Saccharomyces cerevisiae S288C: one gene and its partners. Changing the gene in region 1 together with any one later gene gives a genetic interaction. Each region holds a gene or a part of one and is shown in the gene's direction. Other genes may lie near its edges. The genes, in order: JEM1, ERJ5, MCT1 and PEF1.

What was found.
Region 2: mutations in JEM1 (region 1) and ERJ5 impair growth when combined (synthetic growth defect), as found in Saccharomyces cerevisiae (one study listed by BioGRID).
Region 3: mutations in JEM1 (region 1) and MCT1 together harm fitness more than expected from each alone (negative genetic interaction), as found in Saccharomyces cerevisiae (2 studies listed by BioGRID).
Region 4: mutations in JEM1 (region 1) and PEF1 together harm fitness more than expected from each alone (negative genetic interaction), as found in Saccharomyces cerevisiae (2 studies listed by BioGRID).

The regions. Positions count from the first base shown.
Region 1 is NC_001142.9:301,283-305,651, forward strand, and holds JEM1 (Jem1p), read left to right. Parts: upstream 1-1,898; coding exon 1,899-3,836; downstream 3,837-4,369. Other genes in the region: cohesin subunit SMC3, read right to left, coding at 1-1,567; DNA replication protein PSF2, read right to left, coding at 3,939-4,369.
Region 2 is NC_001138.5:236,795-240,078, reverse strand, and holds ERJ5 (Erj5p), read left to right. Parts: upstream 1-1,823; coding exon 1,824-2,711; downstream 2,712-3,284. Other genes in the region: DUG1 (metallodipeptidase), read left to right, coding at 1-87; IRC6 (Irc6p), read left to right, coding at 252-965; KEG1 (Keg1p), read right to left, coding at 1,019-1,621; SAP155 (Sap155p), read right to left, coding at 2,829-3,284. UniProt on the Saccharomyces cerevisiae protein: DnaJ-like chaperone required for the folding capacity of the endoplasmic reticulum.
Region 3 is NC_001147.6:755,944-759,486, reverse strand, and holds MCT1 ([acyl-carrier-protein] S-malonyltransferase), read left to right. Parts: upstream 1-1,928; coding exon 1,929-3,011; downstream 3,012-3,543. Other genes in the region: ODC2 (mitochondrial 2-oxodicarboxylate carrier), read right to left, coding at 234-1,157; RCN2 (Rcn2p), read right to left, coding at 3,362-3,543. UniProt on the Saccharomyces cerevisiae protein: Involved in biosynthesis of fatty acids in mitochondria.
Region 4 is NC_001139.9:604,449-607,711, forward strand, and holds PEF1 (Pef1p), read left to right. Parts: upstream 1-1,687; coding exon 1,688-2,695; downstream 2,696-3,263. Other genes in the region: LST7 (Lst7p), read right to left, coding at 325-1,053; septin SPR3, read left to right, coding at 3,115-3,263. UniProt on the Saccharomyces cerevisiae protein: Calcium-binding protein that is required for polar bud growth and cell wall abscission. Can also bind zinc ions.

The DNA.
Region 1 (4,369 bases):
TCACATTTATTATACCATTTGCCAATGATCTACTCATGGTTTCATTAACATTTCTTTGATTTTGATTGACGTCACTTAATAAAGTTTCCAAGACTGTCTGTAATTTTTGCTCCTTTCTCCACAATTCCTTACGAGTGTCTAAACTTTCACTCAGCTTCTGTTTGAGGTGTATTAATTCCGAATCAAAATCTTCTAATTGACCCTTGGTATCTGGTCCATTGATAGAATCAATTAGCTCTTCAATCTCTTCATCAATCGCAGAGTACTGCTTCCTTAAAGAAGTACGATCCATTTGCAATTGACTTTCCAGTTCATTTAAGTTTTGTATTGAAGATTTCAGTTCTTCAATTTCTGAATGAATCCACGTATCGCGTTCATCCTTTGATTTAAAACGGGCATATTCTCCTTTCTTTAAGATAAGATCTCTCTGCTTTTGTTGCAAGGAGGCCAATTGAAGTTTGTACATTGCTTCTTCCTTTGTGAGTTCTTGATATCTAGGTAAAATTTTAGACAACTTTTGTTTCCTTTGCTCAATTATAGATTTGATCTCTTTCAAAGTTGCACTATCCAAATTTCTCTGCTCCTCATTTGACTCAATTTGCTGTTGAACATCCTTTATTTTTACGTTGACGTTTGTTAATTTCTGAGAAATCTCAGATTCCCGTAGTTTTGCCTGTTGTAAATCAGTCGCATTTTTGATCTTCAGTGAAGCTTCAATACTTGATAGCTTTTTGGAGACTTGGTCAATCATATCCTCTCTTTTATCCAACTCCTGGATGTATTGTTCGGAAGAGTATACCGTGTTATTATAATCACCGTCCAGTCTTTCCATTTGATTGATAACCTCATTTAATTCTCGATCATACAATGTGAACTGGTAGATCTTTCTGTTGCGTTCCAACTCGTTGTATTTCTCTAATTCCTTACGTTCCTGTTCCATTTCACTCAATTTAGAGTTTAGTTCACCCATTTCCTTGTTAATTTGAATCTTTTTCTGCTCTGTTTCCTCCATTTTTTTCAATGAAGCTTTCAATTTTACTTCAAATGACTTAGCTCCTACAACATCTTCCAATAACTGCAATCTTTCCTTATCCTTGGCATTAGTTAAGGCGACTATTTTACCTTGTGGTACTATATTATACGGATTATTCATTGAAAAACCAGCGGTTTCCAACATTCTGACTATGTCCCCTTTGGTCACGTTTCTGTCATTTAATTGATAGTCATCCTTCTTCAGCCCTACTGTTCTTCTAATGGTCACTTCGTCATCTCCTCTCGAAAGTACACCGGAGGGCAATATCATAGAATGATCTGGATCGTGGAACACAATTTCTACCGAGGCACTCATCACTGAACCACCAGAACCTTGGTGGATAAGCCCTTGCCTTTCTTCCCTCTTAAGATTAGAGTAATCGTCACTAAGAACAAATCTAATCGCAGCGAAGAAATTCGATTTACCTGAACCATTGGAGCCAATAATAACATTCTGATGCGGCGAGAAATTATCAATAATGGTTTCGTTCCTGTAGGTTTTAAAACCCTTAATTATCACCCTTTTGATATACATTGCAGACGTGAACTATTACCGTTACTCCAGCAGGTCGTCTTGTAAAAAAATGGTGAAACTGTTTAAAGATGAGGTTGAAAACTCATCTTTAATTAGTTTAATCATTTCCTAACGCGTCGCGTCTTTTCCTATTCCTGAGACTTTTTTTCTTTAGGTTCCTAATAGTGAAATGTGACAGGTGTACACTTCGATGGCAGGCAAAAATAGAGCCAAAACTGCTTATAAGTTATTCCAAGTGAAAGGAGTTGGTTGCGAGAAGGGCCCAGAAGGTTTCATTCATTGTTGGTTTAGTGTATTACTAAGGCCGATCTTAACGTCTACGAAACGAAGTATGATACTGATCTCGGGATACTGTCTTTTAGTGTATAGCGTTATTTTGCCAGTACTGATATCGGCTTCTAAGTTATGTGATTTGGCTGAGTTACAACGATTGAACAAGAATTTAAAAGTAGACACTGAATCCTTGCCAAAATACCAATGGATCGCTGGGCAGTTGGAACAAAACTGCATGACTGCGGATCCAGCAAGTGAAAATATGTCAGACGTAATTCAACTAGCCAATCAAATATACTACAAAATTGGGCTGATCCAATTATCCAACGATCAACATCTAAGAGCTATTAACACATTTGAAAAAATCGTTTTTAATGAAACTTACAAAGGTTCTTTTGGGAAGCTGGCGGAAAAGAGGCTACAAGAGCTGTATGTCGATTTTGGGATGTGGGACAAGGTGCATCAGAAGGATGATCAGTATGCGAAATATCTGTCCTTGAATGAAACCATCAGAAACAAAATATCATCCAAAGACGTTTCTGTGGAGGAAGATATTTCTGAGCTGCTACGCATAACGCCGTACGATGTTAACGTCCTCTCCACGCACATCGATGTTCTTTTTCACAAACTAGCTGAAGAAATTGACGTTTCGTTAGCTGCTGCTATCATTTTGGATTACGAAACAATCCTCGACAAGCATTTGGCTAGCTTAAGCATAGATACAAGACTTTCGATTCATTATGTCATATCTGTTTTACAGACCTTTGTACTTAACTCAGATGCGTCGTTCAATATAAGAAAATGCCTTTCCATTGATATGGACTATGATAAATGTAAAAAACTAAGCCTGACTATTTCCAAATTGAACAAGGTGAATCCATCAAAAAGACAGATCCTGGATCCAGCAACATATGCATTTGAGAACAAAAAGTTTAGAAGTTGGGATAGAATTATTGAATTTTATTTGAAGGATAAGAAGCCATTTATTACACCAATGAAAATTCTTAACAAAGATACAAACTTTAAAAACAACTACTTCTTTTTAGAGGAAATTATCAAACAATTGATAGAAGACGTTCAACTGTCGAGACCTTTGGCAAAAAATTTATTCGAAGATCCCCCAATAACCGATGGTTTTGTCAAACCAAAATCATACTATCATACCGATTATCTAGTATACATTGATTCCATTCTTTGTCAGGCTTCTAGCATGAGTCCGGACGTCAAGAGAGCTAAACTGGCTGCGCCGTTCTGTAAAAAGAGTTTGAGGCATTCACTAACACTAGAAACATGGAAACACTATCAGGATGCTAAGTCCGAGCAAAAACCTTTACCTGAGACGGTATTGAGTGATGTATGGAATTCCAATCCTCATTTGCTGATGTATATGGTAAACTCAATACTTAATAAAAGTAGGTCTAAACCTCATTCACAGTTCAAAAAGCAATTATATGACCAGATAAACAAATTTTTCCAAGATAACGGCCTCTCAGAGTCGACCAATCCATACGTGATGAAGAACTTCCGATTATTACAGAAACAATTACAAACCTATAAAGAGCATAAACATCGGAATTTCAACCAGCAATATTTCCAACAACAACAACAGCAGCAACAACACCAACGACATCAAGCACCCCCAGCAGCGCCTAACTACGACCCAAAAAAGGACTATTATAAAATTCTTGGAGTATCGCCTAGTGCTAGTTCGAAAGAAATAAGGAAAGCATATTTAAATTTAACCAAAAAATACCACCCAGACAAAATAAAGGCCAACCATAACGACAAACAAGAATCAATTCACGAAACTATGTCACAAATCAATGAAGCGTACGAAACATTAAGTGATGACGATAAAAGGAAGGAATACGATCTTTCCAGATCAAACCCCCGCCGCAACACTTTTCCTCAGGGGCCTAGGCAAAATAACATGTTCAAAAATCCAGGAAGTGGCTTCCCATTCGGAAATGGCTTTAAAATGAATTTTGGGCTTTGATGAAATACATTCTATGCCCATTAACTAGGATACCACAACAAGTACATATATATACATACGCATATCACTGAAAGTTCTAATTATTGCAAAGCCAGCACTTTTTTAAATATTGAATTCTTCTTCATCATTTTCAGTACCAGCGGTAAGAGATGCTGTGTGAATTTCTCGCAGTTTATCCATGATTTCAGTAATGAACGGCCTCAACTCATTGATTTCTAATAGACTTAAATTATCCAATTGTAAATGAGATTCATTCAAATACTTAAGGCCTTTTAACACTTTGATCTGCCTTATTTCCCTTAAGTCTTGTATTTTACCACGTAATTCGTGAATGGGGTCATGAAAATCATCCTTAGCTTTATTGAAAAGTATACGTGCCAAGACAAGCCAGTTCCACGGCAACTCACTAAACCTATCCGGATGAGTTTTCTCATATTGTATTTTTCTATCAAGCTCTTTCGTCGTTAACCACTGTGGTGCTACAATACTGCACTTGGATTGTTGCTTCAGTAATAGAGCGATCCAAAGAACCA
Region 2 (3,284 bases), on another chromosome or scaffold:
GAAAAGTTAGATATTTCAAATTTTGTTGGTGGTATGAAGACGATGGCTGCTTACTTGCAATATTACTCTGAATCGCCAGAAAACTAAGTCATCTTATTTATATATGTGTATATATGTGTAAATTCCATGTCATTCAAGTTTACTCATTCCTATTCGAATTCTGAAAAGAGAGGAAAAACAGAAAACTCTTTATAGAGAAAATCTGATGCAGCAAGATAGCAAGTATATATACGCAAAAATACCAATCTACCATGGTTCTTCAATACCCCCAGAATAAAATATTGGTTTTATCAGATCACCCACACAACTTTTTAAAAACACAATTTTTGCAAGACCTGTTTCATTGCTCTAGCACGGGCATCAGTATAGTTAAGGACCAAACTTGGGAAAATAGATACTATAAAGTCCATTTTGATCTTTATATTGACTCTTGCAAAGAGATACCAGTATGGGTGGAAGAATTTATAACGCCTGAATGTGAACCGCTTAGAAATGTCATGGCAGGAATTATCTTAATAACGGACATCCGGCAAACAAAACCTCAAGAACTGCTGCACCAATTCATGATAGCTGCCCATCGAAATACTTTTGTTGTGTTGGCCAATGTGAACGAAGAAGTCGAGCAAGATGAAATTGATGAACTGAATGAGATATGGAGCAATGCCTTTACAAACGTCATCGAATTCGTAAACTGGAAAAGGTCAAAACCAACTGTTAATCATAACGACTATGGAGAAAAATTGGGGCTTGATAGGATCCAGGAGATTATAGATACCCACGACTGGTTAAATTGTGAAGTTCAACCGGCTACTAAAATAAGGGAGGAAATTCCTAATGAAATGCCCCTCGAACAAATAATTAGGAATTTGCAAAGTGCAAGGCTAAAATATAAGTCTATCGAGAATAGTAGTGAAGCTGATGCTTTTGCAAATGAAATGGCTGACGAACTATCCAGATATTTATGAGTATGTACAGATATGTATATGTGTATACATATGTATTAAACCAATAAGATTGCTCATTTTGTTAATAGTTTTTTGTATGCTGTTAGTAGTACAGGGAAGTATGCTAGTAAAACCACCCTGTTGATTATGTCCAAAGTCGGGGTAGAATGATAGTTCTTAACCTGGATATTTAATAGTAGCAATGCAAATTCACTCAGGTAGAGAATTGGCAATGTAACAAATGTGTTAACCTTCCATACAAGTGTTCTTTCCTTTACGCCCTTACGTTTAAAAAGTTTGCACCAATGGCAATATGCCTGTGATAAAGATAAGGAAATAATGAAACTAGAATATGATGCATTCTTGAGGATCAATGCATGCTCATAATCGTCATAAAAATGGATCACGCTGACTAAATAGATAAAATTTAGGTCTTTCAAAAACGTTCTTGAAAGCAAACCATATTTGAACCCGTGGAATCTAAGCAACCAAATAACTTCCATGATGCTGGAATAAAACATCAAATATATCAAGAATTCGTGGATTCCTCCCGGTAAAAACCGAGACCCTACCAGTGGCATTAATATCAGCCACCGTATCAATAATGCAGCATACAAAAAGCTTGTGGCTAATTGATAATACTGATAAAGCTTATGCGTCAACTTGATACCTGCCATCCTCAATGCTAGTTAAATATATGTGACCGAACAAATACTTTTATTGACGTTGTATTTACATTATTTCCCAATTTGAAGGTAAATCATATTTAATTTCCATATTCAAAATTAATAATCACGAAAAAAATGAGATTTTCAAAATAACACGTACCAAAAGAATAGAAAACGAACAAAAAATCAAGGTTACAAGATCACTAAAAGAATGAACGGTTACTGGAAACCTGCGTTGGTTGTCCTGGGATTGGTATCTCTATCATATGCTTTTACCACCATTGAAACAGAAATTTTCCAATTACAAAATGAAATAAGTACGAAATATGGCCCAGATATGAACTTCTACAAGTTCTTGAAGTTACCTAAACTGCAGAATTCTAGTACAAAGGAGATTACAAAAAACTTAAGAAAGCTATCCAAGAAGTACCATCCGGATAAGAACCCTAAATACCGTAAATTGTATGAAAGGTTAAACCTCGCTACTCAAATTCTTTCAAACAGCTCTAATCGTAAGATTTATGATTATTATCTACAGAATGGCTTTCCAAACTATGATTTCCATAAGGGTGGTTTTTATTTTTCCAGAATGAAGCCTAAGACTTGGTTCCTGCTGGCCTTTATTTGGATAGTCGTTAATATTGGGCAGTATATCATTTCTATTATTCAATATCGTTCTCAAAGATCAAGAATTGAAAACTTCATCAGTCAGTGTAAACAACAGGATGATACCAATGGACTAGGCGTAAAACAACTAACGTTTAAACAACATGAAAAGGATGAGGGTAAAAGTTTGGTTGTAAGGTTTAGCGATGTCTATGTTGTAGAGCCTGATGGAAGTGAAACACTAATTTCGCCAGATACCTTGGATAAACCTTCAGTAAAGAACTGTTTGTTTTGGAGAATACCTGCTTCGGTTTGGAACATGACGTTTGGCAAATCTGTTGGTAGCGCAGGAAAAGAAGAAATAATAACGGATAGTAAAAAGTATGATGGTAACCAAACAAAAAAGGGGAACAAAGTAAAAAAGGGTTCTGCAAAGAAAGGCCAAAAGAAAATGGAATTGCCTAACGGTAAAGTGATCTATTCACGTAAATGATACGTAAGAAGTAATATTATCATGATGAATGAATGAATGAATAGAAAACTACATGGTACTTATACATATAAATTAATATATATATATACAAATTAAAGAAAAGTACAAAACAATGTATCATTCATGATCATAATCATTATCATTATCAGCATCTTCATTATAATTACGAGTATTATCATTGTCATTATCATTATTATCGTTATTATCGTTGTTATTACTATTATTACTATTATGGTTGGTATTGTTAATGTTACTATTACTGTTCTTGTCCTCCGGCGGCCCCAGTATGAAAACCCCATTTTCCGTGTTCTTATTATCAACGTCTTCTTGAGCCCTATTGATTAACATTTCCCTTAACTTGTTGTGTAAATCAGATTCTGTAGATAAGGACAACTGTTCTTCTAGAGACTCAACATTGATTAATTGGCCGCCACCACTTGTTCCATTACTACTCCCGGTATCTGAATCAAGGATTTCATTATTATTACTTGCATCACCATTTGGAGTTAATACAGTAGTATTGTCAGGCAGCTGCGGAATGATGTTACCATTTCCATCATCAATATAACTTCC
Region 3 (3,543 bases), on another chromosome or scaffold:
CCGTGTTGTTTATATCGAGTCTCTTTTGGTATAAGCGTCAAGTCCATCGGAGAGATCATCATTTTGTTCATCTTAATGCCCTTTTGTGTAGGAAATTGAGGGAAGTTTAGGCTTCTCAACATTTTAAGACGCCTATGCAAGGGCTGGTAGGACAGACATGCTATTCTTATTTTGACGTAGAAATAACGTAGTTAAGATTGAAGAGGAAAGAGGTATTCTATATACAATAAATATCAGTGTCCGTACTTCAGATCCCTGAAAAAGTTCATCATACCGGTAAAAACCACCAACATTAATGAACCACCGGGTGCTAGTCTACATACTTTGGGGACGAAACCTTTGTACAATGCTCTGAAGCCTTCTTCACGGTATATGACCAATAGCGAAGGTAGGCACCAGTTGTATTTTTTAACAGCACTGCTGACCGCGTCCACACTTTGGATTCTGGATTTCACCACGTCAAAGGGAGTGTTAAGCATGGTCCCGACCGTACCACCGATCGCACCTGCAATAAGGTCATTTCTGGTCTTTTGTCCCTTTGTCTTTGCTACGGGCATGGAATTTCTCACTTGGTAGATAACACCGAAGTAGCCACCATTCCAAAGAGCGTTTCTCCACATGGTAGATTCGATACCCTTGTATAGCCCCATAATACCTTCGTTTTTGATTGTTTTTTTCAAACAGTCCATTGGTCCAAGATAGCTGGACTTGACGTCTTGCATCCTGATTTTGATCAATTCAAATGGAACAATAACTGCAGCTTCTGTCATACCAGCAGATGCACCAGCCGCAATGGAGATCTTCTGCGTAGTTTCATTCGTGTTGAATAGGTTTTTGAAGATTTTTTGATATTGATCGTTACATGCAAATTTGGTGGCTCTCTTTGGTGCTTCCATCAACATTGGTGAACTAATACCTCTGTAAAGTCTGCTAAACCCTTCCTTCTTTACAATTTTTTTCAAACAATCGATGACACCATTATATCTCTCTACTTGCTTTCCTACTGCAGCGGCAGTAGGCGTCGTCACCTCCAGTTGAAATCTTGTCTTAACAACATCAAGCGGATACATAACAGTTAACTCAGAAATACCGGCGACGGCACCTGATATGAACTGATATATAAAAGGCAATGGCTTTGCGTTTGAGTCTGATGACATATTACTTTGATGCTACCTCGAATTACTTGACTATATAGAATCTAACCCAGTAAAAAAGTGCAGAAGAGCTTCAGACTGAAAAAACGAAGAGAACGTTTTATAACAGAATTACTTGCAAATGCATGTCGAGTCGAAAGTGATCGCGACTGCACTGAGTCATCAACAACAAGATCTTTCGAGATAGACAGGCAAAAAAAGCTCACCACGAAAAAACTGAAAAAAAAAAAGTTCCAGAGGAATTTGCCTGGCATAGAATAATAGCATTCGTAGTACCACTATTTCATGTTAGAAATGCACAAGCAATTGAATGTCAACGACAGAAGAGGACTAAGTAGTATGCAGAAGAACTAGAACTCCTATCTGAGAAGAACTAATTGGTCAACCATGTCTCATTGTCCTTACATTTGATAAATGCCGATCTTCTAAAACAGTAAACACACGTTAGCATCGCCTTGTGTTAACGAAGTAAAAAGGCTTGCTAAACCGAAAGTACACAATATGCTTGTCTTGAGAAAGTTGGAAGAAAATTATAGGCCCTTAAATATACTCAAAATGCAGAAAGTGTCATCTTCTTACATGGCATTTTTTGGCCGTATGACAAGGCGCATTTCAACCTCCGATGGAGGAAGTAAACTGAGTATCGAACTCAAGGGTAAAACAAAGCTTACCAGTAACTTGCTGCATATTAGAACTATTCAATAACGTACACTGAGGGTAGTAACAAAGCGTTTTGCACTTTTCTGATCGTGGTACACATATATAAGCGTTTGTATGAAGCTACTAACCTTCCCAGGTCAAGGGACCTCCATCTCCATTTCGATATTAAAAGCGATAATAAGAAACAAATCAAGAGAATTCCAAACAATACTGAGTCAGAACGGCAAGGAATCAAATGATCTATTGCAGTACATCTTCCAGAACCCTTCCAGCCCCGGAAGCATTGCAGTCTGCTCCAACCTTTTCTATCAATTGTACCAGATACTCTCGAATCCTTCTGATCCTCAAGATCAAGCACCAAAAAATATGACTAAGATCGATTCCCCCGACAAGAAAGACAATGAACAATGTTACCTTTTGGGTCACTCGCTAGGCGAGTTAACATGTCTGAGTGTTAATTCACTGTTTTCGTTAAAGGATCTTTTTGATATTGCTAATTTTAGAAATAAGTTAATGGTAACATCTACTGAAAAGTACTTAGTAGCCCACAATATCAACAGATCCAACAAATTTGAAATGTGGGCACTCTCTTCTCCGAGGGCCACAGATTTACCGCAAGAAGTGCAAAAACTACTAAATTCCCCTAATTTATTATCATCTTCACAAAATACCATTTCTGTAGCAAATGCAAATTCAGTAAAGCAATGTGTAGTCACCGGTCTGGTTGATGATTTAGAGTCCTTAAGAACAGAATTGAACTTAAGGTTCCCGCGTTTAAGAATTACAGAATTAACTAACCCATACAACATCCCCTTCCATAATAGCACTGTGTTGAGGCCCGTTCAGGAACCACTCTATGACTACATTTGGGATATATTAAAGAAAAACGGAACTCACACGTTGATGGAGTTGAACCATCCAATAATAGCTAACTTAGATGGTAATATATCTTACTATATTCATCATGCCCTAGATAGATTCGTTAAGTGTTCAAGCAGGACTGTGCAATTCACCATGTGTTATGATACCATAAACTCTGGAACCCCAGTGGAAATTGATAAGAGTATTTGCTTTGGCCCGGGCAATGTGATTTATAACCTTATTCGGAGAAATTGTCCCCAAGTGGACACTATAGAATACACCTCTTTAGCAACTATAGACGCTTATCACAAGGCGGCAGAGGAGAACAAAGATTGAGAAAGAGATCAAAACTGCGAACTCTCTCCACTCCCAGTCTGTGCTTCTACGCATTCATTGAAAATGGAAAGAGGACGAAAGTGTGCAAAAAATTAGCCAACTTCCCTTTATATAAATATCGTATACACATACATACATTCCTTCTATACTAATCGCTCTTGGATACACTAAAACAAATCCCTAATGCAAACATACATGTTATTATGCCATACAAAGTAAACACGCAAGTATATAAACGTATAAATGGATATATAGATATCTCTACGCATATTCTTTACATTATCATAGCATGAACCTTTTTCCCTTTTTCTGCTTTGTCTAATTTATAGTATTAGTTATGCTCTAGTGCTCTAATGGAAAAACTCGTTAACCGTTATGCTTGGACTTTTTGGAGGATTTGAGGCAGTAGCGTTTACATCATTTTCGGTACACGATGCAGCATTACTTCTAGTAGAAGTATCAATGGTCAATCCTAGTGGCTTAGAGGCGAAAAGGCATTTGGTGCCTGACGCTGACTTATCCTTATTTTCTA
Region 4 (3,263 bases), on another chromosome or scaffold:
CATGATAAATTCACCACATGTATCTATATATGTTCATGCATATACCATATATATTTTGTTATTCATACGATAGACCTCAATCGTTTTGTTGCCTTTCAAAACGCACAATTGTAAACCTAGCTTACTATTTATCTATCGCGGTCCAGAATGGCTTTCCTTTTTAAATTCATCCCAGAAGCCACGTCGGAGTAAAGTATTCGGCCTTGATGACTATTTCGAATCGAAATGAAAGAATAAAAGGAACTAGGAGGTTGTTCCAACAATTTTCCATGCCGTAATTTCATCGGTTATTAGGTTACCAGCATTTATCTCAGTTTATTTGAGTCAAGGTAATTTATTTTCATTCATTACTGTATGGAGTAAAAATGAATTCCATTTATGTATTCGCACGAAGAGAAATTTATCATCCGTCAGAGACACCAAATTACGGCCGAATTTAGATTTGTTTGCACGTAAATATGAGCCAATGAAAGCGTTATTATTCAATGTTTCCAAATTGTTTTCCACCGTTTTATTTTTCCCCAAGAATTCGCTTTTATGAATGTTTTTAATATATGCAATCATTTTATCAAATCCACCGATGATAAAGTTCCAGTGTTCACTCAACATTTTCATAGAATCGTCATGGCTTCTGGAATCGACTGTTAAAATAAAACAATATCTTCTTTCATTGCCTCTAGCATTTTCATCATACAGTTTAAAGCCTATAACTAAGTTCAATCCTCTAAGATCATCAAAAAATATAAAAGGCATATTATCATAAATCATTGTTTCTTCAGAAAAGGCTCTTTTAATAATAGAATTTAGCAATTGGTATCTTATAGAAGAATATTGGGTAGTTATAAACGGAACATCTTCGATGAAGCACCGCATCGATCTAGTTGACTCTTCAGGAAACTGTAAAAGACATGATTCGCAATATGATTCAGTTGGATAATCAGGCACTAGTAATTCTTCACCTAGCGTTCCCTTTTCTGCGGATTGTGTAACTGATATGATCCTTGGGCCATGCTTGTCGCAGAAATGAGCCAATGAAATCACTGTCGAGGACATTCTATGCATCTATTTCATCAACCATTTAAACGCTAACTTATTTTATGGAGGTGCTAGTTAGTTGGACTTTATTGCTTCATTTATCGTTTGATGGTCATCGAATAGAAGATTCCTAAGCCCTTTTCTTTTTACTCAAGATTTTCTTTTTCAAGCGTGTTTTTTCTGGCAAGTACGAAAACGGCATCTTCGAACTTGGCGAATGAACAATCGGTTTGGTTCAACATTTCCAAGAACAACTACAACATACTATCAGTGTTACTTTCAAAAGTCTTTTAATACATTTGAAATGATATTCAGTGGAAGTGGAATGAAATAGGCCACAGTGAATAGGCCACGATACACACAGCATGTGTCATGCTCAATACCTTGCACCTGAATCTATATAATCTTGTAGTTCACCATTATATACATAACTCAGAAGAAGAAAACAATACGCATATTGGATAGTGCTCCATCGCTTTTAACAACTGATAATTTCAGTCATCTGGCTCAGGGTCTTGTCGATTTTTTTTATTTAGAAACTATCCGAATAAAAAAACCGCAGGAATACAAAGCGATGGGAATTGCTATTTCACTGAACATGTATGTATACCGTATACCGCATAAAATAACTATAAACCTACACCATTAAACGATGTGTGCAAAGAAGCTCAAATACGCTGCTGGCGATGACTTTGTACGCTATGCTACACCTAAAGAGGCCATGGAGGAAACTAGACGTGAATTCGAGAAAGAGAAACAACGACAGCAACAAATAAAGGTTACTCAAGCACAAACTCCCAACACTAGAGTCCACTCAGCTCCAATTCCCTTACAAACTCAATATAACAAAAACAGAGCAGAAAACGGTCACCACTCCTATGGTTCTCCCCAAAGTTATTCTCCAAGACATACGAAAACACCTGTGGATCCTAGATATAATGTTATCGCACAGAAACCAGCAGGCAGGCCTATACCTCCAGCGCCAACCCATTATAACAACTTGAACACTTCCGCTCAACGGATAGCTTCCTCTCCTCCTCCCCTAATTCACAATCAAGCAGTGCCTGCACAACTCTTGAAGAAAGTTGCACCTGCTTCGTTCGATAGCAGAGAAGATGTACGAGACATGCAAGTGGCCACACAGCTATTTCATAACCATGATGTAAAGGGCAAAAACCGACTGACAGCTGAGGAACTACAGAACTTACTACAAAACGACGACAACTCCCATTTTTGTATATCATCAGTAGATGCGCTGATAAATTTATTTGGTGCTTCCAGGTTTGGCACTGTCAACCAGGCAGAATTCATCGCCCTATACAAAAGAGTGAAAAGTTGGAGAAAAGTTTATGTGGACAATGATATCAACGGATCGCTCACCATTTCTGTAAGCGAATTTCATAACTCACTTCAAGAACTAGGATATCTAATACCTTTTGAAGTTAGCGAGAAAACATTTGACCAATATGCTGAGTTTATAAACAGAAATGGAACAGGAAAAGAACTAAAGTTTGATAAATTCGTTGAGGCGTTAGTTTGGCTAATGAGATTAACAAAATTATTCAGGAAATTCGATACTAATCAAGAAGGCATTGCAACCATACAGTACAAAGATTTTATCGATGCTACATTATATTTAGGTCGTTTCCTACCTCATTGATGAAAACCATTCGTTCTTTCTGGTCGTAATACAAATAGAAGAGGTAAACCAATCAATGGCCCGTTAGTTTGCCATTTGCTGCATCCTTCCCATGCAAAGTGTCTTCGTATTTAGTGATGTTTTGTTAGCGACACAAAAGAGACCTCGATGACAGACATTTTTTTTTCTTTACTTAATGTATTATAAGTGTGTCTGACCTCGACTATCATTATAATATTAATTTGAAGTTCTATTTTACATTTATATGAGTTATTCCATTACATAATAAGGATATCAAGAGCAGATTAGTGTCTTTTAGATTATACATCTTTTTCCCCCCTTTTTTGTTGTTGGTAGTGGAAAGAAAAGGATCAATTAACAGAAATAAATAAATAAATAATAAAAACCTAAAATTCCTTTTGCGTCATTGAATTTTTATTATGAAGTCAAAAGGGAGTCGGTTGTCAACAGACTGTCCTGTCGAATTTCCCAAGATAGTCTCTGGATTCGCTGAGGAAGTGAAAATACGTAGACAAAGTTCCCAAGGACAGTACGCCGTCGATTCACATCCTCCGAAAAGCCCTGAACT